Linked DNA regions of Ovis aries. The protein of the gene in region 2 binds, or shares a complex with, the protein of the main gene of each other region. Links are inferred from orthologs where the notes say so. Each region holds a gene or a part of one and is shown on either strand. Other genes may lie near its edges. The genes, in order: POLA1, PRIM2, POLA2 and PRIM1.

Region 1 (7,498 bases), on a different chromosome or scaffold from region 2:
ACTCCCATTCTAAATTGATTACTATCCGTGCTGATAAGACAGCAGCTAAGCTAAGTTTTATTTCTGGTGTGATGGAGACTACTTCAGAAACCTGACTGTGGTGACCTTAATCCTACTAGAATATAAAAATGCAACCACACAACATAAAAAGTAAGGCTTAGGGGTTCAAGGAAATAAAAGGTTCAACTGGTAGTGCTAACCCAGCAAAACAATTTCCATCTATGGTCACGCATCAGAGGCCTAATGCCTCCCTCAAAGAATTTCATATTTCACAAATAATTTTTATCTGTATAGAGAAAAGTAGAGAAGGAAATGACCATACCAAAACAATGGAGCAAACAGGATAGTTTCTACTTATCTGGGAAGTAGATGTTATCACAGCCCAAAGAAACAATCTTGTTAATAAAAAGGGGGGATATAAAAAAGCAAAACACTATATAATTTTGGACCCACCAGTTTCTGCTGAGGCTTTCTGAAAGTCTGCTTGTCAGGCACAATATAGTTGTTTTCATAAAATGCATGAAGTAATAAGAACTCATTACGCTCAGATCGTCCACCCATCAGCGTCCTAGACTATTAAATAGAATTAAAAAAAAAAACTTGAGCTCAAAACCACAATAAACAAAAGCAAATCAAATTGATAAATTTAATCATAGCACCTCCTTCAAATTCACTCACCATATCAAGGGCTGGTTTAAAAAAAAGGGGGGGTATTAATTATTTCCAGCAGCTTCTTTAAGCATTACAGTTAAAAGGAGACAAAGAGAGCTTAAAATACCCACAACTCGGCTATTTCTTTACTCTCAAATGGACCATTCCACAAATCAGACACATCCAGATGTCAGAGACAATCCTTATGTTCCCCCAAATTTCAACACACTGCACCTGGCTTTCCTCCCCCTCTCCCAAGCAGTTCTTCATTTTACAAAAGAAGCCCAGCTTTCAAAATACAAGTTACTCATTTTATAAGCATGCATTTAGACTCATTATCATATAACAACTACCCCAAGAAAACATTGGATCCAACAGGAAATGCTTTTTCCCCTTTCTAAGTTAAATTTACCATAATGTTCCCAGCGATGTTAGTGATCTGCAATGCTAATGGAAGAACATTTAGCTCACACATGATCTGCAAAATGAACCTGGCATCTTTCCAGGTATGCTCCAACAGGTACAACAGATGAGAAGAGTCACTGTACAGAAAAGTAAGAATGAAACAGAATCAAGTAATTAAAAGAAACAATGATTAAAATTAGAATTTCATAAAGCATTATTAAAAATTTTTGGTTATGTAACTTCAGAGCCAATGGCACCTCACACTGGAAACAATTTAAAATAAGTTCAGTATGAAATTAGGAATTCATTCATACCATTGATCCCAATGCCTTTCTCTAAAACAAACAAAAAAAATCACACTAAGATAAAGTTATATGCTAACTACAATCTGAAAACGCCCTAAATCCTTTCATTCATTTCATCCACTAAATATGTATTACATACCCACTCTATGCCAGACATTGTTCTAAATTCTGGCGGTGAACAAAAGAGATAAAAATTCCTATCCTTATGGGGGAGGTAGGATACAACTTAAAATTTTAATATGTGGTATGTTAAATAAGGCTAAGTGTTAAGAAGAAAAGTTAAGAAGGGAATATTAAGGGTCAAGAGCAGAGACAAATTTTAGTTAGGGAACCAAGGAAGAGTCCACTGAGAATAAAGACCCACAAGAGGTGAGAGGGTAATTCTTTCAGATGGGTAAATCTGAGGGAAGAACATTCCAGGCAGACAGAACAGCACATTCAAAAAAAAATTTTTAATTAAAAAAAAAGTATGCCCTAGTCTGAGCATAAATCTCGCAGTTCCAATATCAAGAACAAGACCAATGGCTGCAATACAGAGAATGATGGAGAATAAGAGAAGATAAGGACAGAATTAATGGCAGAGATACCCACTGTATAAGACCTTTTAAGTCATAATAAGTGCTTTGGTTTTTACTCTGAATGAAACAGAAAGTCACTAGGAGATTTTAAGTACAGTGCCATATCCAACTTTACTTCAGCACAGAAACTCTCGTTTCTGGGTTGAGAACAGACAACAAGGAGTCAAGGGCAAAAGCAAAGAGACAAGTAAGGAGGCTAATATAAGACCCAGTGACCCAGGAGAAAGAGGATGGTGGCTTGGACCAGGGTGGGTCCAAGTGAAGAGAAAAGAAGTGGCATAGAGACATATTTTGAAGATGGAGCTGACAGGATTTCCTGATGCATGGAACATAAGATGTCAGAGAAAGGAATCATAGATGCCTCAGAGGTTCCAGGCTGAGGATGACTCTGGAGGTTTCCAGTGATACTGGAAAAGTAAGAGAAACAAGGAAGAGAAAGTCAGGAGCTCAGTTGTGGAACAGGCTGAGTTGGAGGCTCATATCAGACATTAAGCAGAACAGGGAGGTAGAGACATGAGTCTGAATTCAGGGGAGACGTCCAAAGTGAAGATATACTCAGAGGAGGCATCAGCACCCACGTGGTATTGAAATTCCTGCAACTCGATGAGATCACCCAGGCAGGGAGCGCAGTCAGAAAGAAAAGCAGTTTGAGAACTCGGGAGGAACAGGCAGAAAAGAATGCAAAATGGCCATAGGGGTAGGAGAAACCTTATGTAAGAAATAATCAAGCAAAAGTTTACATTATGCAAAATGAATTAAGTTCCAGAAATCTAATGTATAGCAATGTGATGGCAGTGAATAATGTATTATACACATGAAACTTCCTAAGAGGAAGAAATCTTAAGTGTCCTCATCACAAAAAAGAAAAGAAAAAATTAGTGCTTGTGTGAGGTGATGAGTGTGCTAATTAGCTTAACTGTCATGATTTTTTCACAATGTGTATCAAACATCAAGCTGTATACCTTAAATAAAATGCAATCTTTATTTGTCAATTTGACCTCAACAAGGCTGGAAAAAAGAAATAAGGAGCAATATCTCCAGATAATTGAATGACTTTTCAGATTTTATATTTCCAAAATATTTGCATTAATTTCTGAATTAATGAATTAAGGGTGGAAACCTAAATATCACATCAATTTCCAAACTGCTCTCAGGAAACATCAAGATGGTGTTAAATGAGGGAGATATTATGATAAAATTAGAATAATTCAAAAGGCAAAATAATTCACATCACTAAAGGAATGGAGATGTGATGCTGACATGAAGACAGACAATTTTCCCCTCCACAGCACCACACGCTCCTGTTCCTCCAGCCTAAGGATGATTCTGGCATTTCAGTTAATTTCAAGACAGAGAAATTCTGAAGCATCCAGGATCATACCTGTACATGTTTCGTATATTTTCAATTGGGATTACAATCCTTTCAGTTTTCAAAATCTGTTGAACAAGTTCAGATAAATGGTAGCTTTTACACCGAATCAGTTCCTTCGCCGAAATTTCCACATCACAGATCATTCGGCCACAGGTAGCATTTTTTTCACCAAATCCACTCCTGCCCTACAGGTGAGGACAAAAAGCAAATCCCATGGAAGAGCAGACACTGACATTTCGTTCTAACTTGATTTGAGACTAGCCCCAAAACTACAATGATGAAACTTTCATTCTTCCATTCATGCATTCATTCAGCCATCACTCATATATTTTTGAACATTGACTGTGTATCTGACACTGTTCTGGACACTCAGAATATAAGGGATACAGCGGTTAGCAAAGTAGAAAAGATACCTGATCTCATTTGAAATATACAACTAAAAAAATTATATAATTTTGGGAGGTAATAAGTATATGGATAATAGAACATGGTGACGGGAACAAGGAATTTGCAGGAACTACATCTTAAACAGGGTGGTCAGGGTAGACCACACTGAGAAGATGCCATATAAAGAACCCTGAAGCGGGTAAGGAGTAAGCAATGCCAGCATCTGGATGATGTGTTAATAACGACTCTATTGTCTTAAAGAGATGAACAGGAAAAGAAGCAAGAGCACTGGCTCCCAACTCCAATCTGCAGCAGCAGAATTCTCTGGAGAATGTTACAAAAGGTACAGATTCCTAAGTTCTCTGATGAAGCAGCATTCTGGTTCACTGGTAAGATTTAAGTAAAGATTTCAAGCAAAGAGCAGTGTCAGAGTTTAGGAAATGAAGGTGCTTCATCCAAAACCCACCACAAGCCCCCTTTATCAAGCAAGCAGGCAGAATGAAAAGGGACAAGCCTTCCAAAAGTCAGATGGGGCCTGGGTTCAAAATTATAGTTCTTGCCTTTACTAGCTCTAGGATCTTGAACAAGCTCTGTCCCCTCTGTGAGAATGTACCCCTAAACCTGCAATTGCTCAGAGAGAGGACAAATATGCAGCCCACTCAGTGTCTGATCCCTCCCATTCTTCCTTCCCATCTCCTTCCTGAACCCCACAGCTGTTTCTTAGGGATGCCCAAGTGGAGCTAATAAGCACGTGCTATCTCTAGATTCTAAAAGTTAAATTTTAAAATTACCAGTGGTTACTAATAAAATACTGAATTCAAAGGAAAAGGTGTTTAGTGCTAAAGTTAAAATGTCCTATCATAAGGCAGTCCTGATTCCAAATCAAAAAAGCACAAGGTGCAACCTGGTAGCTACTCAATATACAGAAGCCAAAACAGAGAAGAAAGATTTGAAAATTATGATTACCCCAAGCTTCGGCATGTTGGATCGCTTCAGCCGACCTATCTTGGACCAGAAAGGAACTTTGCACACATTAATTCTCTGCAGTAGCACTTCCAGTTCAAAACCATAAATATTATGACCCTAGTCAGAAAAAGAATGTAGCCAATAACATTAAAAGAAACACAAATTAAAGGATTTATCATCATAATGCATAGAATTTCTCTGCCCTTTCTTTTTCTGGTCTCTAATTGAAGGCATCATGAGCTTACCTCCGACGGGGGTCCTTTCTTCTTCAGGAATTTATTCATCAGCAGCATTCATTAGCCTTGACATTAACAAGGCTGCTAAGCAGATTGCTGGAATAAACTTTATTTTATTCTAATTGATGCCAGGTTCATATGATGTCTTTTAATTTGCAACTTACACCTCACAGTCTCTCAGGAAAATGCAAATTTTAATGTCCCATACTTTTCAGGTCATCAGTAGAAGCTGTATTCAAATAATTTCATTTTACTTCCTTAACAACCAAGAACCCAGCTGTGCTGTGTGACAGTTTACATAGACTTCTTAGAAAACTCAGGAAGTACATCCAGTTTCTTCTTAAAGAACTGAGTTCAAACACAACTGATTTTGACTTTTAATCAATATGCAACAAAATAAACAGATATCACTCCATAGTTCAAATAAGAAACTTGTTGAAAACACTGAAACAAAACTATCCTGAATAAAAAAAAAAAAACTCAAAAAGATAACCATATTTTCCAAGTCTGTACTAATAATTTCCATTGTGTGAATTATGCTTATTCTAGAATGGGAAAGACAAGAGATCTCTTCGAGAAAATTAGAGATACCAAGGGAACATTTCATGCAAAGATGGGCATAATAAAGGACAGAAATGGTATGGACCTAACAGAAGCAGAAGATATTAAGAGGTGGCAAGAATACACAAAGAACTGTACAAAAAAAGAGCTTCACGACCCAGATAATCACGACGGTGTGATCACTCACCTACACCCAGACATCCTGGAGTGTGACGTCAAGTGGGCCTTAGGAAGTATCACTACTAACAATGCTACTGGACATGATGGAATTCCAGTTGAGCTATTTCAAATCCTAAAAGATGATGCTCTGAAGGTGCTGCACCCAATATGCCAGCAAATTTGGAAAACTCAGCAGTGGCCACAGGACTGGAAAAGGTCAGTTTTCATTCCAATCCCAAAAAAAGGCAATGCCAAAGAATGCTCAAATTACAGCACAATTGCACTCATCTCACACACTAGTAAAGTAATGCTTAAAATTCTCCAAGCTAGGCTTCAGCAGTACGTGAACCATGAACTTCCAGATGTTCAAGCTGGTTTTAGAAAAGGCAGAGGAACCAGAGATCAAACTGCCAACATGTGCTGGATCATCGAAAAAACAAGAGAGTTCCAGAGAAACATCTTATTTCTGCTTTATTGACTATACCAAAGCCTTTGACTGTGTGGATCACAAGAAACTGGAAAATTTTGAAAGAGATGGGAATACCAGATCACCTGAACTGCCTCTTGAGAAACCTATATGCAGGTCAGGAAGCAACAGTTAGAATTGGACATGAAACAACAGACTGGTTCCAAACAGGAAAAGGAGTACATCAAGGCTGTACATTGTCACCTTGCTTATTTAACTTCTATGCAGAGTACATCATGAGAAACGCTGGGCTGGAAGAAGCACAAGCTGGAATCAAGATTGCCAGGAGAAATATCAATCACCTCAGATATGCAGATGACACCACCCTTATGGCAGAAAGTGAATTAGAACTAAAGAGCCTTTTCATGAAACTGAAAGAGGAGAGTGAAAAAGATGGCTTAAAACTCAACATTCAGAAAACGAAGATCATGGCATCCAGTCCCATCACTTCATGGCAAACAGATGGGTAAACAGTGGAAACAGTGTCAGACTTTATTTTTGGGGGGCTCCAAAATCACTGCAGATGGTGACTGCAGCCATGAAATTAAAAGACGCTTACTCCTTAGAAGGAAAGTTATGACTAAGCTAGACAGCATATTAAAAAGCAGAGACATTACTGTCAACAGTATGGATGTGAGAGTTGGACTATAAAGAAGCTGAGCGCTGATGCTTTTGAACTGTGGTGTTGGAGAAGACTCTTGAGAGTCCCTTGGACTGCAAGAAGATCCAACCAATCGATCCCAAAGGAAACCAGTCCTGGGTGTTCACTGGAAGGACTGATGTTGAGGCTGAAACTCTAATATTTTGGCCACCTGATGCGAAGAGCTGACTCATTTGAAAAGACCCTGATGTTGGGAAAGATTTAAGGCAGGAGGAGAAGGGGACGACAGAGGATGAGATGGTTAGATGGCATCACCAACTCAATGGACATGAGTCTGGGTAAACTCCGGGAGTTGGTGATGGACAGGGAGGCCTGGCGTGCTGTGGTTCATGGGGTCGCAAAGAGTCGGACATGACTGAGTGATTGAACTAAACTAGCAAAATCAACTATATCAAGTTTAAAATCAACTAATAAACAGATTTACTTGTTATTAATTTTAATTAAAGATACATACCACTATATTGATGGTAAGTTTGTCTATTAAACTCAGAGACCCAAAGGACATGAGCAAGTCTCATTTCCAAATTCTCATGCCTGGGATTAGGGACTCAAACTCATGTTAGGATTCTTTCATTCTGGTTCGGATTTCTCACAGTCTCGGCTCTAACACCCTAAGGCAGGCCAGCTACCCCTAGATACCATGATGTTTCCTTGGGGCCCAAGAGGGAGGATGCTAGTAGGTTGGATGTAGGCCTGGTGCTGAGCCAGAGGACCACACAAGGTCACCATGGACAGAATCTTCCTAGCACTT
Region 2 (8,081 bases):
GACCTTTATCAACACCCAGAAATCTTTTTTTTAATATATATATATGTTATTCAAGTATATCTGACTTACAACTTTTCAAGTGCACAGCAAGGTGATTTAGTTACACAAATACACATATATTATTTTTGAAATTATTTTCCATCATATGTTATTATAAGATATTAACTATAGTTTCCTATGCTATACAGTAAACCTTTGTTGCTTCTTACATATCTACTAAAATCCAGCATTCTAGTCATACTAAGTCAAACAAGTAACACCAAGGAATCTTTCCTCAAGTTCAGCACAGTCAGAGCAAACATGTCCTGAGCACTCCCAATGTACCAGGCACTGTTATAAGCGTTTTAATCCATTAATCCACATAATCCTTCGAAAGCCCCTATGAGGAGGGCACCACTATATCCCTATTTTAAAGATGAGGAAACTGACTTTGTTCCAGGTCACAAGCCTGTAAGCAGCAGAGCTGGGATCTGGCCCCATAACTATTCCTTCCCCCATCTCAGGACAGCTGTTTTGATCTTCACTAGGTGGCCAGCCCTCCCCAATACACCACCGTTCCCTCCTCTCATCACAAGACCTCATCTACTTTACAGAAAGCAAAGGCCTCAGGCCGGCTCCTCAGCCCAAACTCCTGCCACCGCGTGTGGTACTGCCTTCCCCACTATCCCTACTGACAGACCTCTCTCTCCTCCTACACACAGCTGATCCCACACAGAAACTCCGTAGCCCACCTGCTCCTGCCTCCTAAGGATCATGACTAATCCAAAGTTCTCCCAAAATATCTACAATCGCCCTTTCTTCTCTTCCAGATCGTTCTGCTCAGCTTATAAATATGTTCAAATATATGCTGTAACGTGTTATCTTCTCCCTTCAGATTTTCCTATACTCAGACCTACCTCCCCGGTCTTCTCAGCTGGACATGTTAGAAGAGGAAATATTCCACATTCATCTCTCACCTCTCTCCTCCAAACACTACGACTGTTCCACCACCTGTCTTCAAGCCCAGATCTGCTGCACACCCTGCAGCCCTCAAGATAGCTCCACAAGCACCTCAGAGTTACAACGAGAACTAAACTCAGTCTTCTTTCTAGTAAGACTTGCCTCCTCTCCTGTATATCCCACGATCCACCCAGCTGTCATCACCAGAAACCCAAGCATCACTCAGAACTCTTGTTCCTCCTCCTTGTACTCAATCTCTATAATCTTATGATTCCATCTTCTCACTATCTCTTCAATCAGTCCTCTTCACTCCATTCAATTTACTTGTCATCTCCAAGCTCCTGATTGGTATTCCCATATTCATCTTCTCAAAATAAAAATGAGATCACATCCATTGAGATTCGGTTCCAGCACTATCTCATCTGGGAAGCCCTCCCCAACCTGAGCTAATTATCTGTACTTTTGGAGTTCCTGGTTGTTATTTAGTTGTTAAGTCATGTCCCACCCACTCTTTTGCAACCCCATGGACTGTAGCCCGCCAGGCTCCTCTGTCCATGGGATTTCCCAGGCAAGAATACTGCAGTGGGGTGCCACTTCCATCTCCAGGGGATCTTCCCGACTCAGGGAGAGAATCCACAACTCCTGCGTTAGCAGGCAGATTTTTTACCACTGAGCCACCAGGAGAGCAAAACAGAGTTCCTGGAACACATCAAATAACAGCATTTGTCACCTTGACTGCACAGGACACATCTGGCAATATCTGGAAACAGAGCCCAGAAGCCAGAGATGCCAGTGAGCCCCCTAAATGCACCATGGAATCATCAGGTCCCGCATGTTCACATTCCTAAGGTGGAGACACCCTGCCGCACTGGAGTTTGACTGTATGTCAATCATCCCTCGTGGTCGGTAGGTTCCTTCAGGAAGTTTTTTTAAAGCCCTGTGCATAATACAAGACCTTTCCTATGGTCACTACCAGTACACACACAAACTGAAGGAACATCTCTGTCCCTCTTTTACTTACTCTGTAGGAAAATTTGAGCTTCCGAAGCTCAGCCTCCAGCTTACTCTGATACTGTTCAGTTCCCTTCATGTAGCTCACACCAAGATTCTCAACTGTTTTTAGCACTAGAAAAAATTTGAAAAACAGAAGAAAGGTGGGGGGAAATGTATAAATGCAAGGTAATCTTAAAAAACTAAATCTAAGACAAATCTATGGATAGCAATTCCATAATTACTTTTTATAACAATACTTAAGCTTCATTTTCTGCAAGCACATTACATGTTATATATGTTTATAAGAGAATAACCTCCAACCATATGCAGAAAATAACCACATCCCACAGCATAACCTCATACCAGGGATTCTCAACTGGAAGGGAGAGAGGGATGGGGACAATCATGATGTACTGAGCATCACTGCTGAGGGATGCACAAGTGTGTCAGCGTGCGCATCCAGCCCTCGTGCTGAGCCGGTTGTGAGGCGGGTGCTTCACCAACTCAGCACAGACTCTTCGGAAGATAGCCAGCCCCTTCCTGATGAAGCAGAGAAGAAGACACAGCAGTAAAGCAGCAAACAAGCCACTCTGACTAGATGCTTCGCTCTGTCCAAAGGCTCCTGAAGCCCCTGTCAACTCTTCCTCGGATGAATTCTTCTTCCATTGGTGAGAAAAGAGAGATTAATTTGAGAATGAAAAACTTCTGAAATGAATCCTGAGGCCATGTCCAGCAGGGACTCCGTATTATGGTCTCCCAAACCAAACTCATTCTCTGCCCCTCAATCCTGCTCCTCTTCCTGCCACCCACCTCTAACAGCAGCATTTCTACCCACGAGATCAGCCACCCTGGAACTTCAGCCCTCCTCACCTGATCCCCTGTTCCTCACACCCAAGCAGTCATCAAACCCTGTCACTTACACCTCCTTGGTATCCCTTCCATGTCTCCCTTCCTGTCCCTGCCTCACCATCTCACCTCCAGGGCCAAACTGAAGGGACCCTTTTCAACCACTTAACCTCTATGAGGCATCGCAGAACCCATGCTAAGCTTCCCAGAACCCATTCTCCCTGCCCTTTACTCTTTTATTCAGCAAACAGATAATACAGGTACTCTGTACTAGCAATTCTCACCCAGCTCTTCTAAGAATGACTAACAGTATCTCACTTCTACTTCTGATCTCCCCATCAGGATATGCTTTGGAACATAAACTCTGCAGGCAGTGCTATTGTTGCAGTTGACACCGAACTTCTTTCTTTCTTCCACCAACACAGAGAAGACAAGCAGGCTCAAGAAAATCGCTACATCCTTCTTACACTTATCACAGCATTCAGTTCAGTTCAGTCGCTCAGTCGTGTCCGACTCTTGCGACCCCATGAATCACAGCACGCCCTCGCAGCGCGCCAGGCCTCCCTGGCCATCACCAACTCCCGGAGTTCACTCAAACTCACGTCCATCGAGTCGGTGATGCCATCACAGCATTAGCGTGGTACAAAACACCCTTGGTTACCCACAGCTCTCCACCCACCCTGAACTTGCCACCTTTCCCTCCAGTGTTTCACGCTCTCTGGTGCTTCCAACTCTTCCTTCAGACCATTAGCTCAGCTTGCAAAAACCGCTCCCTTCCTCTCTATTGAGAAACTGCTACTCGTGCTTCAAGATCCAGGTCACATTTCAACTTTTCTTAAGAAGTTTCACTTAATCAGATTAGGTCAATCATTCCCATCTGTTTCAATAACACCTCTACTAGAGCACTTAAAATACTAAACTATAATTACTGCTTTGGACATCTGTCTCCATGTATTAGAATACAGCTTCAACAAAGATGACAATTTCATTACTCAGCTCAAAATCCCTACCGCCTAGAATAAAGTGGCACTCAATAAATATGCACAGTACATGGAAAAAATGAATGAACAGCAAAATCTCAACGAAAAACCTGAGCAAATATTAAAGAAGGAAATAAATTACTCTAATTTATCTCTACAAGGTATAAGTGAGGTTCTCAGGAATACAAAAATTCAAATTCAAATCACTCACATTTAACTCTATCGATAGCCAACGTTTCAAATTCTGTCAAAGATACGTTTCCAGAAGGTGGCTGCAAGTAAAACTGAAGGCTATGTGGGTAGCAAGCATTCCTCTGGTCATCTGCCAACCTCAGTTTCCTCCGTTTTCCTCCAGAAAACTCCATCTTGTTACCCTGGAAGCAAGCACAAAAAACGGTGGGAAATGGAGTTAAAAACAAAAAATAACTCCACACACAAAGGAAAACATTCTGCCTGGCAACTGATTCTGAAGAGCACGCACAACATGTTGAGTCGTGTCCCTGTCTTCCAGACCTTCGACAACACCGCTGGAACCGCGGTACACAGGCGGTGGGGAGAGGTGAGCCCTGCGGAGACGCGGGCAGCGGTCGTGACTTCCCGCAACGTCCACAGCAGGGGACGCGGGCGGTTCTCCAGGCGTCTGCGCGCTCCGCCTTGAAGGCTCTGAGCTCTCCAGGGTCAGGCTGAGACTGCCCGAGGGCTGCGACCCCGAACTCGGAGGAAAGCGCGGGAGCTTCAGGCTAGGAACGCGACTCGGTGGGCTTCTTCCCTGACAACCCCTGAAAACTGACGGCTGTCTCCGAGGCGCCGCACGTCGGAGCTCTTCTCCGGAGCGTCCAGCGGCGCCGAGTGACACGCCGCCTCCGCGGTCCCTCAGCCAACGCGGTCTGTCAGCCCCGGCACCCGCCTCCGCCTAGACAAGCAACCAGGACGGACTCGCGCCCCCCGCGCCCGCCGCTCTCCCCATTCTCCAGGCTCGCACACCTCAACCCCAGGGTTACTGTTCTTCGCAAACCCCGGCGGCTCCTCTCACCTGCAACTACACCAAACACAGATAAACACGACAACAGCTTTCCTCAGGTGGCGGGAGAGTTCGAACGGGACCGGAAGCGGAAATGGCTGGACCGCGGAGCCCGCCCTCTCCCCCAAGCCCGCCCAGCCCAGGCTTGCGCATGCTCAGTGGGGCCCTCTGGGTGGGGCGGTCTCTGGATTTCTGTCGTAGGTATTGCACTATGTATCGTGGCCGTGATAAAGCGCTGGATTAAAGATCCAGTCTCTAGGGGTCTGGAAAAGGCAGTGCACCCCACTCCAGTACTCTTGCCTGGGGAATCCCATGGACGGAGGGGCCTGGTAGACTTCAGTCCATGGGGTCGCTAAGAGTCGGACACGACTTCACTTTCATGCTTTGGAGAAGGAAATGGCAACCCACTCCAGTGTTCTTGCCTGGAGAATCCCAGGGACGGGGGAGCCTGGTGGGCTGCCGTCTATAGGGTCGCACAGAGTCGGACATGACTGAAGCGACTTGGCAGCAGCGGCTGTAGGGGTCGGGGTTCGAATCCCACCGCTGCCAGATGATTTTGGGCTTCCCTTGTGGCTCAGCTGGTAAAGAATCCGCCTGCAATGCAGGATACTAGGGTTCGATCCCTGGGTCGAGAAGGTCCACGGAGAAGGGATAAGCTTCTCACTCCAGTGTTCTGGCCTGGAGAATCCCATGGCCTGTGTAGTCCGTGGGTTCGCAAAGAGTCGCACACGACGGAGCGACTGTCACTCTCACTGCTGCACTACGTGTGCGTGGGTCTGAGCTGTCGGCGCCGGGTCAGCACCGGCTCCAGACTGGGACCCTGGGTGATAATCTCAGAGAGCCCGGCGAGCGGGAGGCCCGGCTCACCGCTCACAGAGGCGGCGGCTAGGCGGCCTGCGTACCGCGGGTCAGCCCGCTTTTCTCCTGGTCGGCGAGCCCCTTCCGCACTCTCGGTGCGCGGCGAGGGTCCGCAGGGGGACCTCGGTCCAGCCGGGACGCACGCCTTGCGCGTGCGCACTCAGGAACGCTCGGCGTCTGCGGAAGGAGACCGCGGGGCGCCGGACGGTGACCGGCGAGGCCGCGGGAGGCGCGGGAGGCGCGGGAGGCGACGGCCCCCACTGTGCGCGGCAGCGTTTCAGAACTGAGGCCGCCAGGTGGCGGGTCTCGCTCACAAAAGAGGCCTCTAGAAGTCCCTGTCAAGGTAGGAGGGGAGGAGCCGTCAAGACGTTCAAGGTTTCGGAAATGCAGACTGAGCTGAAACAGTGTCAAGCTTCAGAGCATCTGCCTAGCCTGGGCCAAACAGGGGTTGACCCTGACCTTGTACCAGAACGTGTTCTGAGGGACTTACATGTCAGTTCATTGTATTGCCATAACCCATTTAAAAGGCTCATTTGAAAAGACCCTGATGCTGGGAAAGATTGAAGGCGGGAGGAGAAGGGGACGACAGAGGTTGGGTGGCATCACCGACTCGATGGACATGAGTTTGAGCAAGCTCCGGGAGCTGGTGATGGACAGAGAGGCCTGGTATTCTGCAGTCCATGGGGTCACAAAGAGTCGGATACGACTGAGTGACTGAACTGAACCCATTTAAGGTTCTGTTCTGTTCAGTTGCTAAGTCGCTTCTGACTCTTTGTGACCCCGTGGACTGCAGCACACCAGGCTTCATTGTTCTTCACCATCTTCCAGAGTTTGCTCAAAGTAATATCCACTGAGTCAATGATGCCATCCAACCATCTCAACCTATGTCATCCCTTCTGCTTTCAATCTTTCCCAGTATCAGGGTCTTTTCCAGTGAGTCAGCTCTTCCCATTAGGTGGTTAAAGTATTGCAGTATTCCATATTCAACATCAGTCCTTCCAGTTAATATTCAGGGTTGATCTCCTTGCAGTCCAAGGGACTCTCAAGCCATCTTCAGCACCGCAAGTCAAAAGCATCAGTTCTTCAATGCCCAGCCATCTTTATAGTCCAACTCACACATCTGCACATGACTACTGGAAAAACCATAGTTTTGACCGTATAGACCTTTGTTGAAAAAGCGTTGTCTCTGCTTTTTAACCCACTGTCTAGGTTTGTCATAGCTTTCCTTCCAAGAAGCAAGCATCCTTTAATTTCATTGCTGCGGTCTCTGTTATTAACCTACATTACAGATACGGATTGTACAACAGAGAAGTTGAGTCACTTCAAAGGTCACTTAGTAGCTGGCAGAGCCAGGTTCAAAGTCTCAGAGACTAGCCAAGCACCACAGTGCTAACCACAAAACTACCAATTTCACTAATATGTCAGTTGTTACCGTTCAGTCATTAAAGGAAAGTGAAGTCGCTCAGTCGTGTCCGACTCTTTGCGACACCAAGGACTGTAGCCTACCAGGCTCCTCTATCCATGGGATTTTCCAGGCAATAGTACTGGAGTGGATTGCCATTTCCTTCTCCAGCAGATCTTCCCGACTCAGGGATGGAACCCAGGTCTCCCGCATTATAGACAGACAGACGCTTTACCGTCTGAGCCACCAGGGAAGTCCATAAGTCCTGAAATTAACTTCAGTCATTAAGTTGTGTCTAACTCTTTCACCATGCCATGAACCCATGAGCCCACCAGACTCCTCTGTCCGTGGGATTTCCCAGGCAAGGATAATGGAGTGGATTTCCATTTCCTTCTCAAAGGGATCTTCCCAACCCAGGGATCAAACATGTGTCACCTGCATTAGCGGGCATATTTCTTTACCACCAAGCCACCAGGGAAGCCCTGTGAGACATTACACAGGCTTAAAAAAAAAATTATTGGGGTTTACTTGCTACAGGGCTGTGTTACTGTCTGTTGTAGAGCAGAGTGAATACATATACATATATCACCTCTTTGTCACCATAAAGCATTGAGTAGACTTCCCTGTGCTGTACAGTAGTACGTTCTCACTGGTTATCTATCTTATACCCAGTAGCATATATATGGCAATCCCAATCTCCAAATTCATCCCACTCTCCCTTCCCCTCTTAGTGTCTGTACCTTTGTTTTCTACATCTGTGTCAATTTCGGCTTTGCAGATAGGTTCATCTGTACCATTTTTCTAGATTCCACATGTATGTATTAATAGGTGATATTCATTCTTCTGACCTTATTCACTCTGTATGACACCCTCTAGGTCCATCCAAGTCTTTGCAACTGGCATAGTTTCAATTCTTTTTATGGCTGAAAGTATTAGTGTTAGTTGCTCAGTTGTGTCTGACTTTTTGCAACCCCGTGAACTGTAGCCTGCCAGGCTCCTCTGTCCCTGGAATTCTCCAACCAAGTACACTGGAGTGGATTGC
Region 3 (7,498 bases), on a different chromosome or scaffold from region 2:
CCAGTCTTTCCAAGGAAGAAGCCATAAATGTCTCCGCTTCCTTTAACACTGTAATTGGCTTCCTTTACACAGTTCAAGCGGCTGTTACTGGGAAATGGTTGTGTGCTTTTTCTTAGCAAAGTGATTGTGATTCGGGAGAATTATTGAGAGTGGTCATCTTATATCTGTTTCCTAATAGGGGTGCCCAGAGGACATCTATCAATCAAAGGCAACCTTGAACTTGTTCTACCAGCCTAGCTGACACTTTGTTACTGATTCAAGCCCTTCCAGGTGGTTTTATACCCTCCAGAATGTCAAAGGGAAAAACAAATACCTTCTCGAATGTCTGGGAGCTTCTGAAACATGTATTTGTAGCTCCGGGTGAGCGGCTCTGGATGTCCCAAGACCTTCAGGCTGAGGTGACTAGTTCCTCCACTCCCGGACCAAGACACGCCCTGTGCCGAGCCAAAGGAGGTAACCACTTCTCCCCGGTTACTTCTTGAGCTGTATTTCTGAGGGGGAGTAGCACTGATTGGAAGCAAAAGACATCAACGTTACCGCGTTCATATCTAAAAGGAGAGAGGAGTCTAAGATGAGGCTACCTCTCGGAAATTTGGGATTGGAGGCATGCCAGCCTGGCCTCACATTTTATAAATCTAATCAGCTTAATGGGGTTGGACATTCTGGACCTTTAAGGAATTTCAGGAATGAGGGGGGTTGAGGAATACCAAACGTGTTTAGAAAAGCTTAGACACAGAGACGCAGTTTAAAAGGTCTTCTCCTGGCTTAAAACTAACAAAGTAAAACAAAACCCAAACTCTGAATTGATTAAAGAGCCAGTTTCGAGTACTATTTTCTTTCTTATGAATTTTTAGCACTTGTTAGAATATCATCGGAGCCTGGAACTGTGGATAAGTCAAAAGCTGCTCTGTGCACACATAACCCCTCATGACATAGTTCAAGGCAGAAACAGTAACAAAATGAAGTTAAATGAAAGGGAATCAGCTTTCCCCAGGATCTCTGGAGGTGGGCAGGTAATGAATTCTGTCAGCTAGTGAACAAACACTCCCACTCTCCAAGTCTCAATCGGCAAGTTCTCGTATTTCTCCTCATTCGCTGATAAATTCCACCTCCGAGGACACACAGTGTTGCTGATCTGCTTAGAGGACAGCGAGGTCTTCTAAGCCTTTGGTTGTGAACAGTGCACCAAGAGGCCTGCTTACAACAGGCTTCATTTAATGCCCTGAAACCCTGCGGGAACCAGTTCTACATAGGCACTGTTACAGTGGGTGCTGCCAGTTCCTCCTTTCCACAGAGGCTGCAGCAAACGAGCTTGACTAATGACCTCTGTCTCCAGTGCTGCCTCCACCTGAATAATTTAGAAGTTACTTTCATAAATTACGAAGCCAGTTTCTGATGTCAGCTTTACTGGCATGCGTTACAGAATGACGAGGCAGGGCATCTCAGCTGCGCCAAGCTCCTCCCTGCGAAGCTCTGTGCGGCACACATTACAGCCGGCCCTTTAACCCAGGGAGATGCTCACGCGGGGTTTGTTGCAAACAGATCTGCAAGTTTCAAAGTCTTGCTGTTGAGAGAACAGAACTGCTGCCATGGTGCTGGCACCTACGAGAACCACTCTGTAACCAGCCATCTCTGTGCATCCAAAGATGCCCTTCTAAGTCTACACAGTTCTATTCGGAAGCCAGGGTGAAAACTCCTGAAAGCAGGAGTGGGCCACACTAAAGTCAAATCCGCCCTCAGGATCCAACTACCTTTCAGAGGACTTCCCCGGTGGTCCAGGGCCTAAGACTCTGTGCTCCCAATGCAGGGGGCCCGGGGTTCAACCGCTGGTTGGGGAACTAGATCCTGTAGGCTGCAACCAAGAGTTCACATGCCACAACTAAAGATTCCACGTGCCACAGCTATGACTGCTGCTGCTGTTGCTAAGTTGCTTCAGTTGTATCCGACTCTTAGCGACCCCATGGACTGCAGCCTACCAGGCTCCTCCATCCATTGGGGTTTTCCAGGCAAGAGTACTGCAGTGGGTTGCCACTGCCTTCTCTAACAAAGACTAGGCCGAGCCAAATAAATAAATTAAAAAATTGAAGAAAAAAAGAATCTGACCCCGTTCTGATCTTGAACAATGCTAGCACTCCCTTTCTTTCTTTCGTGTGTTTTGGCCCTACCAAGTGGCTTGTGGGATCTTAGTTCCCTGACAGGGATCAAACCTGGGACTACGGCAGTGAAAGTGCCGAGTTCTAACCACTGGACTCCCAGGGAGGTCCCTATCACCTCCTTTCTGATGTGACAGAAAAGTCTTAGGTTGGCAAGTCTTAAGCTCTGCTTGGTCTAGAAGTGACTCCTGGCAGCCAGTGTCGCCCTAACTGGCTCACGCCACCGTTCCTTTGCCCCATCCCGATGCGGCAGCACCTAAAGCCCTTTCTTCTCCTCAGCAGAGCTCCCACTACGGAATTCTCTCATGGAACACGTGTCATTTATGGATTTCCAAAAGTCACACGTGATCCCTGTGGATTTATGTGCAGAAGTGGCAGCAGGGATAAAATACCAATGAAGTTGGGGTAGGTTCAGGGACAAGAAAACTCTCAGCAACTAGCTGTAACCTGAGTGAGGAACAAAGAACAGGTTACGCAATGTTATGAACAAAGATATGTGCTTTTCTTTTTTAAAAATAAATACCTAAAAAAAAAGAAGAAAGAAAGAAACCCAACAACACATGAACTAACAGAAGCAGGTGGAAACCTATTAGCCTCCTCCTGGCAAGAGACTTGCAGGCTCCCCAACTTCTGAATAGACAGGTTGTTTTTGGTAGGAGGTATCAGGTTCTGAGCTAGGAAATGAGCCCTAGAAAAGAGGGTGGAAAGTGAGTTTCCTTAACTACCAGTAAGAAACAGTAACTTTCCACACAGGATGAGGGCGGGGAGGGGAGGGAGCAGTCGGTCTTCTAGCCAGTCGACTGCAGAGGGAAACGTCCACCTCTCTTCCTTAAGTCAGGTTGTAGTGTCAGCCTCTACCAGGTAACCAGAGAGAGGGGAGGGCGGGCCTGCTGCCTGACAGCTGAATTATCAGAATCCATACCTTGGAGAGAAACTCGATGGTGAGAGGAGCTGATGGGGGCTCCGAGCAGACACACTTCTTTTTGTGAGGGGGGTTTCTGGGGTAGTGATAGTTCGCTTCTGAGAACCCTAGAAGCAAAGCAGGAGAAGGGCGCAGTTACTCTAGACTCGGGTTGCTAAGTGAAGCACGCATATCCTTAGGAAAAAAGGGGGGACGTGCCCGGATGAAGGGCACAGACCACACAGGGCTGGGTTTCTTCTGAAGGCCCCATCTTTCAAGCAGAATCTCAGACTTTAGCAACTGTAATACAGTCCTCGGCAGTACGCTGTCTCCATTTGGGAGGCAACTAAGAAACAAATGCCAACAACATCCCCCGACAGGACTGCCAAGCAGGCGATCTGTCCTGTCAAATCGCTCGCGTGTTCATTTTCCTTCCCCACCTCTCTGCTTTAGCACAGCTGGGAGTTTGGCTACACACATAGTTTTAACCTGCACGGACACATTTTCCTGTCAAGGGATGGGACCATGTTACTATTTATTCTGGCAAAGTCTACCACACATTTTCAGAATTAAAGAAGGGAGTGACTCCAGGCAGATAACACGGGTGAGCTCATACTTGGAGAGTATTTAGCACACGCCTCACTGATGGTCAGTTTTGTTTTCTGGGTGGTTTTGCTCATCAAGAAGAATCCAAAGAGATGCCTGGAGTGGAGGGTGAAACCGGCAAATCCCGAGATCCCTTGCTCCCCAGAGTCTGGGACAACGGACTGTGGCTGAGCAAAGACAAAATCCTCGGCTGGAGGGAAACCAGGCAGCTGGCTAGTTGGCCAGCGTTCCCCTGCCCTTGGGCTCCTCCTGGCTGCGGGTTTAGGTTATGCCACCAAAGCTGCCTACGGGGTGACTAGGGACAGGCAAGGAGAAAGAAAGCAGGATTCGAAACCACCCTTAAGTGGCTGGAATGGAAACTAGATTTTAAAAGGACCCTTCCTTATGTGCTACACTTATACAACAGCCATTTAAAAATACTCCTTTCTAGTATTTCAATATTTTTCCAATTGAAAAAATTCTAATAGTTATAATCTTAGTTTGAATATGATCCTTCATTGAAGTATTGTATATTATGAGTTTTTTGCTCTATATTAATTCTGAGCATTTCTCCCACATTGTCAGTCTTCATCCTTTCTGGTAGCTGTGTTGATGGAATTGATATATAATAGTTTACGTAACTACTTCTCTGTTGTTGGGTGTATCTGTTTCTGGAGACAACAAATACTGAGGTGCTCACTATCACACAATAGCTTTTCCTGGAATTTGGATAATTTCTTATGAGAGATTCTTACTAGGAGCGATTACTGGGCCAAACGATGGCAAAGATTTTACGGTTTCAATAGGTTTTTCTCAAACTATTTTTCCCGAAGACCCTTCTAATACATAGGGGGCTACAGAGCTCCAGGTCCATCTCCCAGGATGAAGCAAGAGGACAGGACTCTGGGAAAGAGCAGAGCCTTGGGGCTCAGCCCTCAGCCACGTGGTGAAGCCTGATTGTGCCAGCAAACCAGCTCGAGACGTTCCTGGGGTGTGCTCACTCGCAGCAAGCTCAGGAGACTCACTGCTAATACTATTGGCTGGTTTACCCACCCATAATGAGACATACAGAGGGACTGCAGTCTCACACCCTGGGGGGAACTCATCCTCAGAGCACACAGGAACCCAAATTTTAGCCAGATTATTCATTTATTAGAAAAAAGATGCCAGAAGCATGGGAACTTCAAATCCCCAGGCTGATACATCTTTCTCTGTCAGGCAGGACATGTGGAAAGTCGGACTACAACCAGAAGATTTATGGTGAGCACAGGGGCAAAAGAGCAGCTGGTGGGACTTCCCTGGTGATCCAGTGGCTCGGACTCTGCACTCCCAATGGAGGGGAGCCTGGGTTCAGTCCCTGGTCAGGGAACTAGATCCTACATGCTGCAACTAAGACCCGGCACAGTCAAAGAAATAAATAAATATTAAAAAATTTAAAAAGAGTAGCTGTCATTGCACAAGGTAAATATTTAATGGTGACAAGCTAAAACCACTGACATATTCACCTCTGCAACATGGGCCCTCCTGCCCCTGGCACCAGTCTGGGTGGGAAAGGCCAGCCCTGGGCTCTGACCCTGTCATCGTGCTGCGCTGATGCCCGAGTTCCCACATGCTGGGCACTGTTCAAGTCTTTTTCCTGTTTCTACCCCAGATCCAGTCTGCCTCTCCTCTGAGCTCCAGATGCATATTTCAAATTGTTCACCCATTTCAGCTCATCTCTTAGCTATGTTTCCATGGCCAAACTTTGATCTGTGATTGAGCCTCCTGAGTACTTTTGTAGCAGGAATGGGGTGTCCTCAATATGGTATTTCAGCCATCAGAAAGCTGTGTACTTCAACAGTAAATTAAGTAAATTTGTATCTGATTTACGTGTCAGTCTACTGAGAGTTGAGTTACCACAAGTCAGTCCTCCCAAATATGAACAACCCTGATGCTGTGAACATTTTAGCTTTCTTGCTTTCCACAGGCACATGTAAATGACTCACCTTTCCTTCCTTCTGTTTTTTGGGTGGGGGGCTGTGCAGCGTGGCTTGTGGGATCTTAGTTCCCAGATCAGAGACTGAACCCAGGGCCCTGGCAGTGAGAGCACCAAGTTCTTGCCAGGGAATTCCCCTATCGTCTTCTTTCTTACAGTATGATTTACTTTGATAGATTAAGGCTTGCTCCTTGTTTAAGGATTGCCACAAATTCATTTTCTGTAGAGACTAACTATGATTACTGAATACATTGCTTTGGGTTTGGCACTTTACATGTTCATTTACATGTTTTCAAGCCCTTCAAGATATTTAAGATAATATCACAGGGTATTATCTGCTGGCTACTGGCTTCTTGAGGGCAGAGCACAACCTTGCCTGCTCCATCCACCAGTTCATCCAGTGTCTGGCACATAGTAGTTGCTCAGTAAGCGAATGAATGAACCCTGATTATGCAGCAAAGGACATGGCAGCTCAGAGAGATAAAAGCAGCTCACTCAAGGTCACTGAGGTCTTTGACTCAGGCTTTGAGGACAGTGCCTTTCCACTGCTCTATTCCACCTCTTAGCGTGGGGTCCAACACCTAAACTGGATAAGCAATATTTATAGAGCCTCCACTTGAGACAAAACTAGACACCCACTAAAAAAGAGCAATTATGGAGAAACTACATTGATAAAAATTTTATGATATGCTAACTGAAGAAAGGATAACTATGTGTCCACAAAAGCGGCCATCATGTAAAATCATCTACGCACATGATCGGAAAGGAAGATGCATACGTGTAAATAGAGTAGGAACTGTATGAGTGGCTAATTTTCTCCTTCAGAACTTCAAATGCTGTGCTGATATTTTTAGAATAAAGAAAAAAACATGCTACGTGTAGAATGCAATTTCCAAACAGGGTACACGTACCTTAGAGGGTGTGGTGTAAGAGTTCAAGAGGGTCTCCTCTTCTTCCTCCACCTCAATTCTAAAAACATTGGTTAAGAGAAACAATAAACTTCCACCCAAAATCTAAGGCAAGGGTCGATCAAATAAGAAATCTAAATACTAGGCATATTACTTGTTTTTTTTTAATTTGAGTTTGTTCTCATGTTTTTTATGGTTTTCAAAAAATTATTTATTTATTAAAAACAATTTTTTTTTTTAGGCCATGTCATGTGGCATGCCAGATTTTAGTTTCCTGACCAGAGATGGAATCATGTCACCTGCATTGGGAACTCAGAGTCTTAACCACTGGACCACCAGGGAAATCCCTTATTACTGGTTCTTAACTTACACATGCAACTATAGACAAAGGATAAAATACAATATGTAGTTTGATACAAGGGCCTTGAGCAGAAAAGGATACAGCTCTTGTATGGAGACAATGTCTCTGGGTCCTGCATGCCTGTGCCCTCTGTCCTTGGAGGCGCCATGCCAGGTTCTGGATAATCTTTTGCTCAGAAACTAAGGAATAAAAGATAATGAATATATTATTCCATAGTCAAATTAATAGAGGAAGCATTTCCCATAGTCATGAGGTAATAACGGGCATTTGAAATATAATCGAAAATATAAAATTCCTCAAAGGAAGAATGAAGATATACATGATAGACTAAAGATTAAAGACTTAACCTGTCACTGTTTCTCTCCAACACATAACAATTCTAATATGAACACCAATTATTTGCTGATGAACTACCACCTGCTGAGCATAGTTTTAGGAGGGATTTACAACCATTCTCAATTCATTCAATAACCATAAAAAATACACATCATGGGGACCACTGACTGAAGAGGAAACTGAGGTTAGGAGTCAATAAGGAGGTGGTCCACGCTCACGTTGGGACTGGAATCCAGGTCTGATTCTAAGGTACACACTCTTCTCAATACAGTACTCCAC
Region 4 (7,498 bases), on a different chromosome or scaffold from region 2:
AGATTTGACTTTCACTAACTCAGGGAGATGGTGATGAACAGGGAGGCCTGGCGTGCTGCAATTCATGGGGTCGCAAAGAGTCGGACACGACTGAGCGACTGAACTGAACTGAACAGGCCGTTTTATATTCCCATCTCTTTCAAATTATTGGATATACAATTCAGTTACAGTTTAGACATATATTTAACATAACACTCATCTGGATACAAAAATAAGTAGAGAACGAAATACTGCATACATGGTAGTTGTTAAGTAGATAGTTATTGAATCTAAGACTGTGAGATTCAAACAACTGTCAAAATCAATTGACAATTTAATCTTTCAGTATAGATCCTGGCATTAAATGTTATTTTGTAAATATCTGTAGACTCACATTGGATTCAACAGCACCATTTGGGCAACTGATGAAGGAGAGAAACATTGTGATCATATTATTTGCTACTGAGCTGGTTTCAGGATAAATAATGATCCATTCTGGTCTGAATCCAAGGCAAATTAATTACTGAGTCACAGAAAGACGTCAATATAAAAAGATTATGTTAAAGTGAGACTTCAATATACTAACCTACCTCTGGTTCTGTGTTTAATATCAGATTCAGCTCCATTCTCTTTTTCTTCTTTAGTAGAAATAACATCCAACTCATGGCAAATGGAACTACAAATAATAGAAGATAATTTAAAAGTTGATTCTTGGTCAATATTACCCAGTGTATGAAAGCACATGAATCTCACAAGATTTTCTGTGAAAAAAATGTGGCCAAATGAATTTGGGATATTCTAAACATCATACTCTCTTTCTGGAGTTTTCCATGCATGTTAGCATATTAAAGACTAGGAAATTTTGCTTAAGTCAACACTTCTCAAACTTATTTGAACTTTTTTTTTTTGCATAATAGTAGCTGAAAAATTTGTGTTCTGTAGAACTCACGAGGAAATGCTCTTCTGGAAGGGCACCATCATACAGCCTCAGAGAAGCTGCCTCTCCAGAAGGGATCTAATCCAATTTACTTCACATTTACAAGTCACAAACAAAAAAGGAGTGATCAGTGATCTGGAACATACCTTATGGTTGGAACAGTAAATGGATCAAACTGATCCACTTTCTGTAAGTCAATAGGCACAGAAATGCGACCTGTGAAAAACAAAAAATTATAAGCTGAATATTGTACAATACAAATAATTATAGGCTGTGTCCTATGAGTTATTTTTGGCTAAAACTTTAAGGCTTAGAAAGAGGGTTACACTAATCTGTTAAGAATATTTATTTAGAAATATAAAAGTACTTTCGGGACTTCCCTGGAGGTCCAATGGTTAAGACTCCACACTTCCGATGCAGGGGGTATGATTCTCTTCCTGCCTAGGGAACTAAGATCCCACATGCCATGTGGCCAAAAAGTTTCAAAAAATACATAAACAGAATAAAATTGGGTCTTAAAAAAAAGTACTTTCATATTAGTGCCTTTTATTTCTCTAAAAACACCAAAAAATAGATGTGAAAGACTGCTGAGCTATTACCTAGTTGCTCTTATATCCATTTTGATTTCTGTTTTTCTCTTCCCTATATCCTCCAATATGTACGTACGGAACAATCTCAAATTTAGTGAGTCCTGAAGATGGAACACAAAATAGATGGAAGTAGTTTACTTCATTACTTTAATTTGCTGAAATCAAAACAGACACCTATGTGTTGAGCATCTTTGGAAATAATATAAATGACATATTACCCTTTTACAAAATCCACATCTGGGACATGAGGATAAAATTCATATCTGAAAAATGAGATAATGAATTTAAAGAATGGCAGGTGACTAACAAAATAATTAAGGAAATTGAGAGTTACGGGTAGAAGGCAGAGTGAAAAGACTATAGCCATTTAATGGGAAAAAGATATAATAAAAATGTATACTTACGAGTGAATGTAATTAGTTACTCAAATCTTGAATATTAAATAAGGGGAATACTCACTGAAGCTTTAGAATATTAAGAGAAACATTAAGAAACATTAAGCTTGTTACCAAAATAAACTAAAAACACATAACTGGCAGATTTGAAAAGGGGCTATATAAATGTATATACTACAGAGTCATTGTAGACTATTAAAGAAAACTAGGCAATGTGGGAGTACTGAATATGTGACAGACACTTTTCTAAGTATTTAACCTTTTAGATCTTCACCATAAACCACTGAGGTATCTACTGTACAGATGTTAAAACCAAGGGTCATTTGCTTAACTTCCCACGGCAAGTGGCAGAGTTGAATTGTTGACACTAAAAAGGATAACTAGATACTTCTAATTGTGTCCTCTAGTTGGATGGAGCAAAGTTTATGCCACTGTATCTACTATCATACTTATTGTAAAGTCAGTTTTAGTCCATCAAATCTTATCCAGAAGAGTGAAAGAAGAAAGCTAAATCTATTGAAAAAGACCTGAGGGAGGCAGCATAGTGGAAAGAGCATGGAATGGAGTATAGTTGCCTTACAGTGTTGTTAATTTCTGCTGTACAGCAAAAGGAACTAGTTCTATGCATACATTACATATACCGCTCCCCTCTTTAAGAGTTCCTTCTCATTTAAGTTACCACAGATAACTGGTACAGGTTCCTGAGCTATACAGTCGGTTCCCATTATTTATTTACATAGTAGAGTATATATGTCAATCCCAATCTCCCAATTCATGCCACCCCCTGCCTCCACCTTGGTAACCAGAAGTCTGTCCTCTACATCTGTGATTCTATTTCTAAAAAGCATGGAACTTTGAGTCTTAAGAACTGAACTCTGTTATCAGTTCTGACATAATTTTTTTATTTTTGGCCACACTACGAGGCTTGTGGGATCTTAGTTCCCCGAATGGCAATAGAACCTGGTCCCCATTAGTGAAAGTGCCAAGTCCTAACCTCCCTGGATCACACCAGGGAATTCCCCAAAATTTGTTTTAAGACTGTGGACAAATCACTTTAACCTCTCGAGCCACTGTTTTCTCATCTGAACAATATGTGCTGCTGTTCTATGATTTTTAAGTTCCTCTCCAACTCTACTTCTAACGCTGAACCTTAGAAACCCAACTGAAAATTATTTACATAGTGGAAACTCATTGAATACCTACTAACTGACAATGGAAAAATAAGTTAATTCAGATACTAGCTGACAGAACAATTCTTCAAGCTTTACTATTTCAGACATTCACACTCAGTGACATGCTTTCTATAACAAAAAATAACTTTGATTTTTCTTTTGTTCTTAATTTTTTAAAAAATAGTACCTGTTTTAGGATGAACACTAAAAGGGCTCTTCAGTAAATGATTGATTCCTTTGCTAACATTGATATCCAGTCGTGGAAAACAATACTGGAGCATGATCTCCCACTCAAGCCAGGGTCCACATTTGTCGTTTTTGTTGTTTTTCTAAAAACAGATGTAAGTCCAGCATGAGGATCAGTAGGAACTTTTGAAGATTTCTTTAAGGTGGTGAAAAAATGATCTTCAACCATCTTTAACTTAGTAAGTGAAAAAATGATAATTTAATTAAGAATTGCATTATTGTATTTGTAATACAGATTTCAATGGAATATACCTGATATTTGTTGATGGTGTTCTTCAAATTCTCCCAACGCTGAAGTGAATTGCTATGCCTTTGGAAGCCTTGTTGAAGTTCATCACGCATTGGTGATGGATCATTAAGGAACATACTCATTTAGGGTACATCAATGAACAACTTATTTTCAATGTGTATTACCACAAGGATATCTAAAGACTACATAGAAAGTAATTATTATTTTCTAAAATACACATATTAAACACAAAACCTTAGAAAAATTCCCCTGTTAAATTGTATTAGGTACGACAGAAAGAATGCCAAAATAGCTTTAAGGTTTAAGGTAAAACTGGTTCGTGATCTGTATATATTTTGATGATCATTTTGTATCCGTTAAGTAGTCACTAATTTTAGGAGGATCAGCTTCCAAAATGAGGAAATTTATTTACAAAACAGCCTCGCTTCTTACTGTATTCCAGACTAGAGATTTTAAAAAAAAATGCAGAAATACAGGAGATGTTTTGTGTAAAAAAGATTAAAACTATATAAGTACATGAGAACATGCAGGTAGAACAAATTTATAATATCACAGGTCAGTACAAGTAGCTCACATAGAAATGGACTTGGGAAAGGATATTTTCAGGAACAAGGGCTAAAATTTTATCCCAGCTTTCTTTATTCTCAAGAATATCTTGATCAACTAAGGCATATTGTTCAAAGTATTTTTTAATTATGTTTATAGATTTTCTGTAGGAACAATAATAACAAAGTCCCAACACTATTAGTGACATATATGGCACACGGCTTTTGTTCACTAGGGAGGCTAGTACTTATTTTCACTGAATTTCTAGAACTTAACTAGATAAAATGGGAATTATACCTCTTCACAGGGTTATGAGAGTTAAATGAAACACTCTAAGGGGAAAGAACCTAGCAAAGTACTTGGCTTAGACTAGATATTCAAGAAATGTTTACTTCTTAAATCCCACAATTTAGAAGGTTCATAGCATCACAGACATGTAACAAGGGCAGAAAGCAACCAAGTCAGGACAATGTAATAATACATCAGTAGTAGGATGTGGGATACAATCAACAGTTTCTATTCTGAATTGCTTGCTTTAGCATCTCAACACTTACAAAGTGCTTTGCAGTTTGAAAATAGACTTTGCATCTACTGTTTTATGTATATATATTTGTACGTTAGGTTACTAGTTTTTATTTCATTATTATTGTTTTTTTGGCTGCACAGCATGCAGCATGCAGGATCTTAGTTCCCCAGTCAGGGACTGAGCCCATGACCCCTGCAGTAGAGGCAGAGAGTCTTAACCACTGGACTGCCAGGGCCCTTCTACTGTTTCATTTAATCTCTGCCACAACTCTGAGATAGATGGAGTAGACACTGTTCTCCCCATACTGATAAGAAACAGAGTCTCTAATATTTTATCAAGGTCATATTAAAGTGGCAGAATAGGGATTCTTACTTCTAATGCAATGCTCTTTCCATTATCCTAGAGAAGTAGTGAATTAAATGGAAAGGGTATGGTCTTTGGGATCAAGCAGACAAGGACATATATGCTGATTTTAATAATTACTTGCATAAAGCCAAACAAATTATACAATCTCTCCACTTATAGATGAGAGATAACCATCATGTATCTAATGCGGTTGTTGTAAAGACCAATAAGAACATTTGTGAAACACCTATCAAGAATACTGGAATGTACAAAACAGACAATTAATTAATTCTGGCTATTATTGTTGTAAAATGCTACCCTGGTGCAGAAAATTGATACAGTAATTCTAAAAGCACATGCAGGTAAATCAGACACAACTTAAACTTCATGGAGTCTTCCCCAACAGACCTGACAAAAGGGTGAATTTTTTCACTTAGGTGAACTTTCTTTTTAACATCTTGACCACCCTGAAAAACAAACCATCAAAAACAAAACAAAACTTCATGTAAGAATCAAAATTTTCTCTAATGTATTCTAAAGATATTGATTAAATTCTGTCAAAGTATAAATCTTGGTTAACTTTACTTGACATACTTGGACCAGAAAAGTAAACTAAACTTCCTTTTGCCACATACAGCAAAATATGAGATATCTTAAAAATGTAACTACTATGATTTTAACTGATCTACTGATAAAATCATTTACTCTGAAATATGAATGCTTAAAAGATAGTTTGCTTTTGTTACTAAACATACAAGGCTGGGTGATGTCTAGCTAATGAAGAAATGTAAACTATCATTAAGAAGACCTTACCTTTACCAGACTCAAATATTCAACTATCCCAGAACGTACTGCAGAGGACAGTTTTCTAACTGATTCATCACAGACCCAACAATGAACACCTCTCCTTCCAGAATATACCCAGAGACGATGTTTAAATCCAAAGTCCTCTGAGGAGGGAAGAAATCATCAGTTTTAAAATAAATTTGTAAATTTCTGGTTCTTGCATATTTCTCTAGCTTGATTTTTTTTTTTACCTCTTATCCACATGTACTCATCTTAACTATACTGCAGTTGACCCTTGAACAAAGTGGGATGCCGACCCTCCCACTAGAAAATCCACATAAAACTTATGGTTGGCCCTCCATAGAAACAGTTCCTTGAACTTCCTGGGTGGCCCAGTGGTTAAGAATCTGCCTGCCAATGCAGGGGACACAAGTTTGATCCTTGGTCAGGGAAAATTCCACATGTCGTGGGGCAGCTAAGCCTGTGTGCCACAACTACTGAGCCTATACTCTGCAATAAGAAAAACCTGCACACTATAACGAAGAATAGCCCTCAACTAGAGAAAGCCCATGTCTAGTGATGAAGACCCAGTGCGGCCAACAAATATGTATGTGTATGGATACACACACACACACACACATATATATATATATAAAAGGACAAGTTCCTCTGCATCAGCAGTTCCTCTATATTTGTGGTTCCACATCTGCAGATTTAACCAACTATGAAGCATATAGTATTGCAGTATTTACTACTGAAAAAAATCTGTATAAGTAGAATTGCGCTGTTCAAACCCATGTTGTTCAAGAGTCAACTGTACATTATTTGTAGTTTCCCATGCTCCCTGAGCTCTTGCTTTCAGTTCTTTACTTATCCTGGTCACTCTGCTAAGAATTTCTTCATGCCCCAGTATTTCCATTTCTCTCCCTGACCAACTGCCATTTCTCTCTAAAGACCCTGGCTAAGAATATTAAAAGAGGTAACACATTTAAAGTGTTTGAAATAGTGCCTGGTACATAATAAGCCTCTTATATAAGTTAGTCATTATCATTCTCATCCTTACCATCACCTCTTCCAGGAAGCCTTTTCTGATCTAATATCTTCCCATTCCTGTATGCACTCCTGCTGTTCTATATCCCCATAGCACCCTGTGCATATTAACACATATGTAATCCTTATTTTTCTTGTTTTCTCCTTAGACTGCATAACTTACTTGAGGTAAGAACTGTTATCTTTCATAGTTCCTCACTTAGGACAGTAACTGGCATGCAAGAATTGCTCAACACATGACTGAACTGGGAAAAAAATTACATGATTTGATCAATAGGTTTATCAAAGTTTTAACTACAACTTTAATCTTTTATTTTCCCATCATATATTTCAAAGAAACATGTCAGAAATTTATGAGACTTGATTATAAAATGGTATAGACAGATTAATATTCAGAAGAAAAAGATTCTTGCACGTGACCCCATTTAGATACTGCTAATACTTGCCTTTCAGTGCTCGGTCGATGATATGTATGGCCATCGTCATGAGGGTCCAGCACTTGGAACATATGTCTGCAGAACTGGGGCAGAATGATCATTACTCACTGTCAGTGATATCACCCACCCTACTAGCAAAGCATGCGGAACTCACCTGCAACATCTCCTCACATCGTCATAGTCTGTCATGTCAATGTCAAACACCAGTTCTTTTTCCTGAGCCTGGAAAGCTCCCAGCT

Evidence for each region.
Region 1: the proteins of PRIM2 (region 2) and POLA1 are in contact, whole or in part, in a cryo-EM structure (PDB 8G9F), measured with the Xenopus laevis proteins. The link is inferred for Ovis aries from reciprocal best matches to the Homo sapiens genes PRIM2 and POLA1. Residues at the interface, in XP_018121015.1 of Xenopus laevis: Pro34, Pro35, Thr36, Glu37, Asn38, Ile39, Ser40, Leu41, Ile42, Phe44, Glu45, Ile49, Ile107, Phe110, Ile111, Leu114, Cys117, Gln118, Ser119, Glu120, Asp121, Arg123, Ala240, Arg241, Leu243, Val245, Val246, Gln247, Arg251, Leu252; in NP_001082055.1 of Xenopus laevis: Leu842, Lys853, Ile894, Pro895, Glu896, Leu971, His974, Arg977, Glu978, Leu981, His982, Glu985, Gln988, Lys989, Asn991, Glu993, Asn1007, Asn1009, Arg1101, Asp1102, Glu1106, Gln1109, Glu1221, Asp1224, Gly1225, Asp1227, Ala1229, Leu1230, Met1233, Trp1234.
Region 3: PRIM2 (region 2) and POLA2 share a complex: the UniProt entries of both Homo sapiens proteins name them as parts of the alpha DNA polymerase complex. The link is inferred for Ovis aries from reciprocal best matches to the Homo sapiens genes PRIM2 and POLA2.
Region 4: the proteins of PRIM2 (region 2) and PRIM1 are in contact, whole or in part, in a crystal structure (PDB 5EXR), measured with the Homo sapiens proteins. The link is inferred for Ovis aries from reciprocal best matches to the Homo sapiens genes PRIM2 and PRIM1. Residues at the interface, in NP_000938.2 of Homo sapiens: Glu165, Ala168, Ser169, Pro171, Ser172, Phe188, Ala189, Leu192, Phe195, Arg196, Gly197, Arg198, Val200, Tyr201, Leu202, Glu203, Asp204, Gly205, Phe206; in NP_000937.1 of Homo sapiens: Lys147, Glu148, Asp149, Phe150, Gly151, Phe152, Ala180, Val181, Gly184, Ile185, Glu187, Tyr188, Ser190, Leu191, Lys193, Lys207, Ile208, His209, Pro210, Ile212, Arg213.

Annotation. Positions count from the first base shown.
Region 1 is NC_056080.1:23,027,305-23,034,802, reverse strand, and holds part of POLA1 (DNA polymerase alpha catalytic subunit), read right to left. Parts: intron 4,782-7,498; coding exon 4,665-4,781; intron 3,497-4,664; coding exon 3,321-3,496; intron 1,194-3,320; coding exon 1,064-1,193; intron 574-1,063; coding exon 454-573; intron 1-453. UniProt on the Homo sapiens protein: Catalytic subunit of the DNA polymerase alpha complex (also known as the alpha DNA polymerase-primase complex) which plays an essential role in the initiation of DNA synthesis.
Region 2 is NC_056073.1:3,040,208-3,048,288, forward strand, and holds the start of PRIM2 (DNA primase large subunit), read right to left. Parts: upstream 4,876-8,081; 5' UTR 4,743-4,875; intron 4,133-4,742; 5' UTR 4,124-4,132; coding exon 3,970-4,123; intron 2,065-3,969; coding exon 1,961-2,064; intron 1-1,960. UniProt on the Homo sapiens protein: Regulatory subunit of the DNA primase complex and component of the DNA polymerase alpha complex (also known as the alpha DNA polymerase-primase complex) which play an essential role in the initiation of DNA synthesis.
Region 3 is NC_056074.1:39,928,949-39,936,446, reverse strand, and holds part of POLA2 (DNA polymerase alpha subunit B), read right to left. Parts: intron 7,063-7,498; coding exon 6,965-7,062; intron 6,584-6,964; coding exon 6,526-6,583; intron 3,183-6,525; coding exon 3,076-3,182; intron 508-3,075; coding exon 314-507; intron 1-313. UniProt on the Homo sapiens protein: Accessory subunit of the DNA polymerase alpha complex (also known as the alpha DNA polymerase-primase complex) which plays an essential role in the initiation of DNA synthesis.
Region 4 is NC_056056.1:162,923,259-162,930,756, reverse strand, and holds part of PRIM1 (DNA primase small subunit), read right to left. Parts: coding exon 7,414-7,498; intron 7,343-7,413; coding exon 7,269-7,342; intron 5,937-7,268; coding exon 5,800-5,936; intron 5,454-5,799; coding exon 5,395-5,453; intron 4,280-5,394; coding exon 4,170-4,279; intron 3,664-4,169; coding exon 3,572-3,663; intron 3,403-3,571; coding exon 3,261-3,402; intron 1,133-3,260; coding exon 1,063-1,132; intron 656-1,062; coding exon 570-655; intron 1-569. UniProt on the Homo sapiens protein: Catalytic subunit of the DNA primase complex and component of the DNA polymerase alpha complex (also known as the alpha DNA polymerase-primase complex - primosome/replisome) which play an essential role in the initiation of DNA synthesis.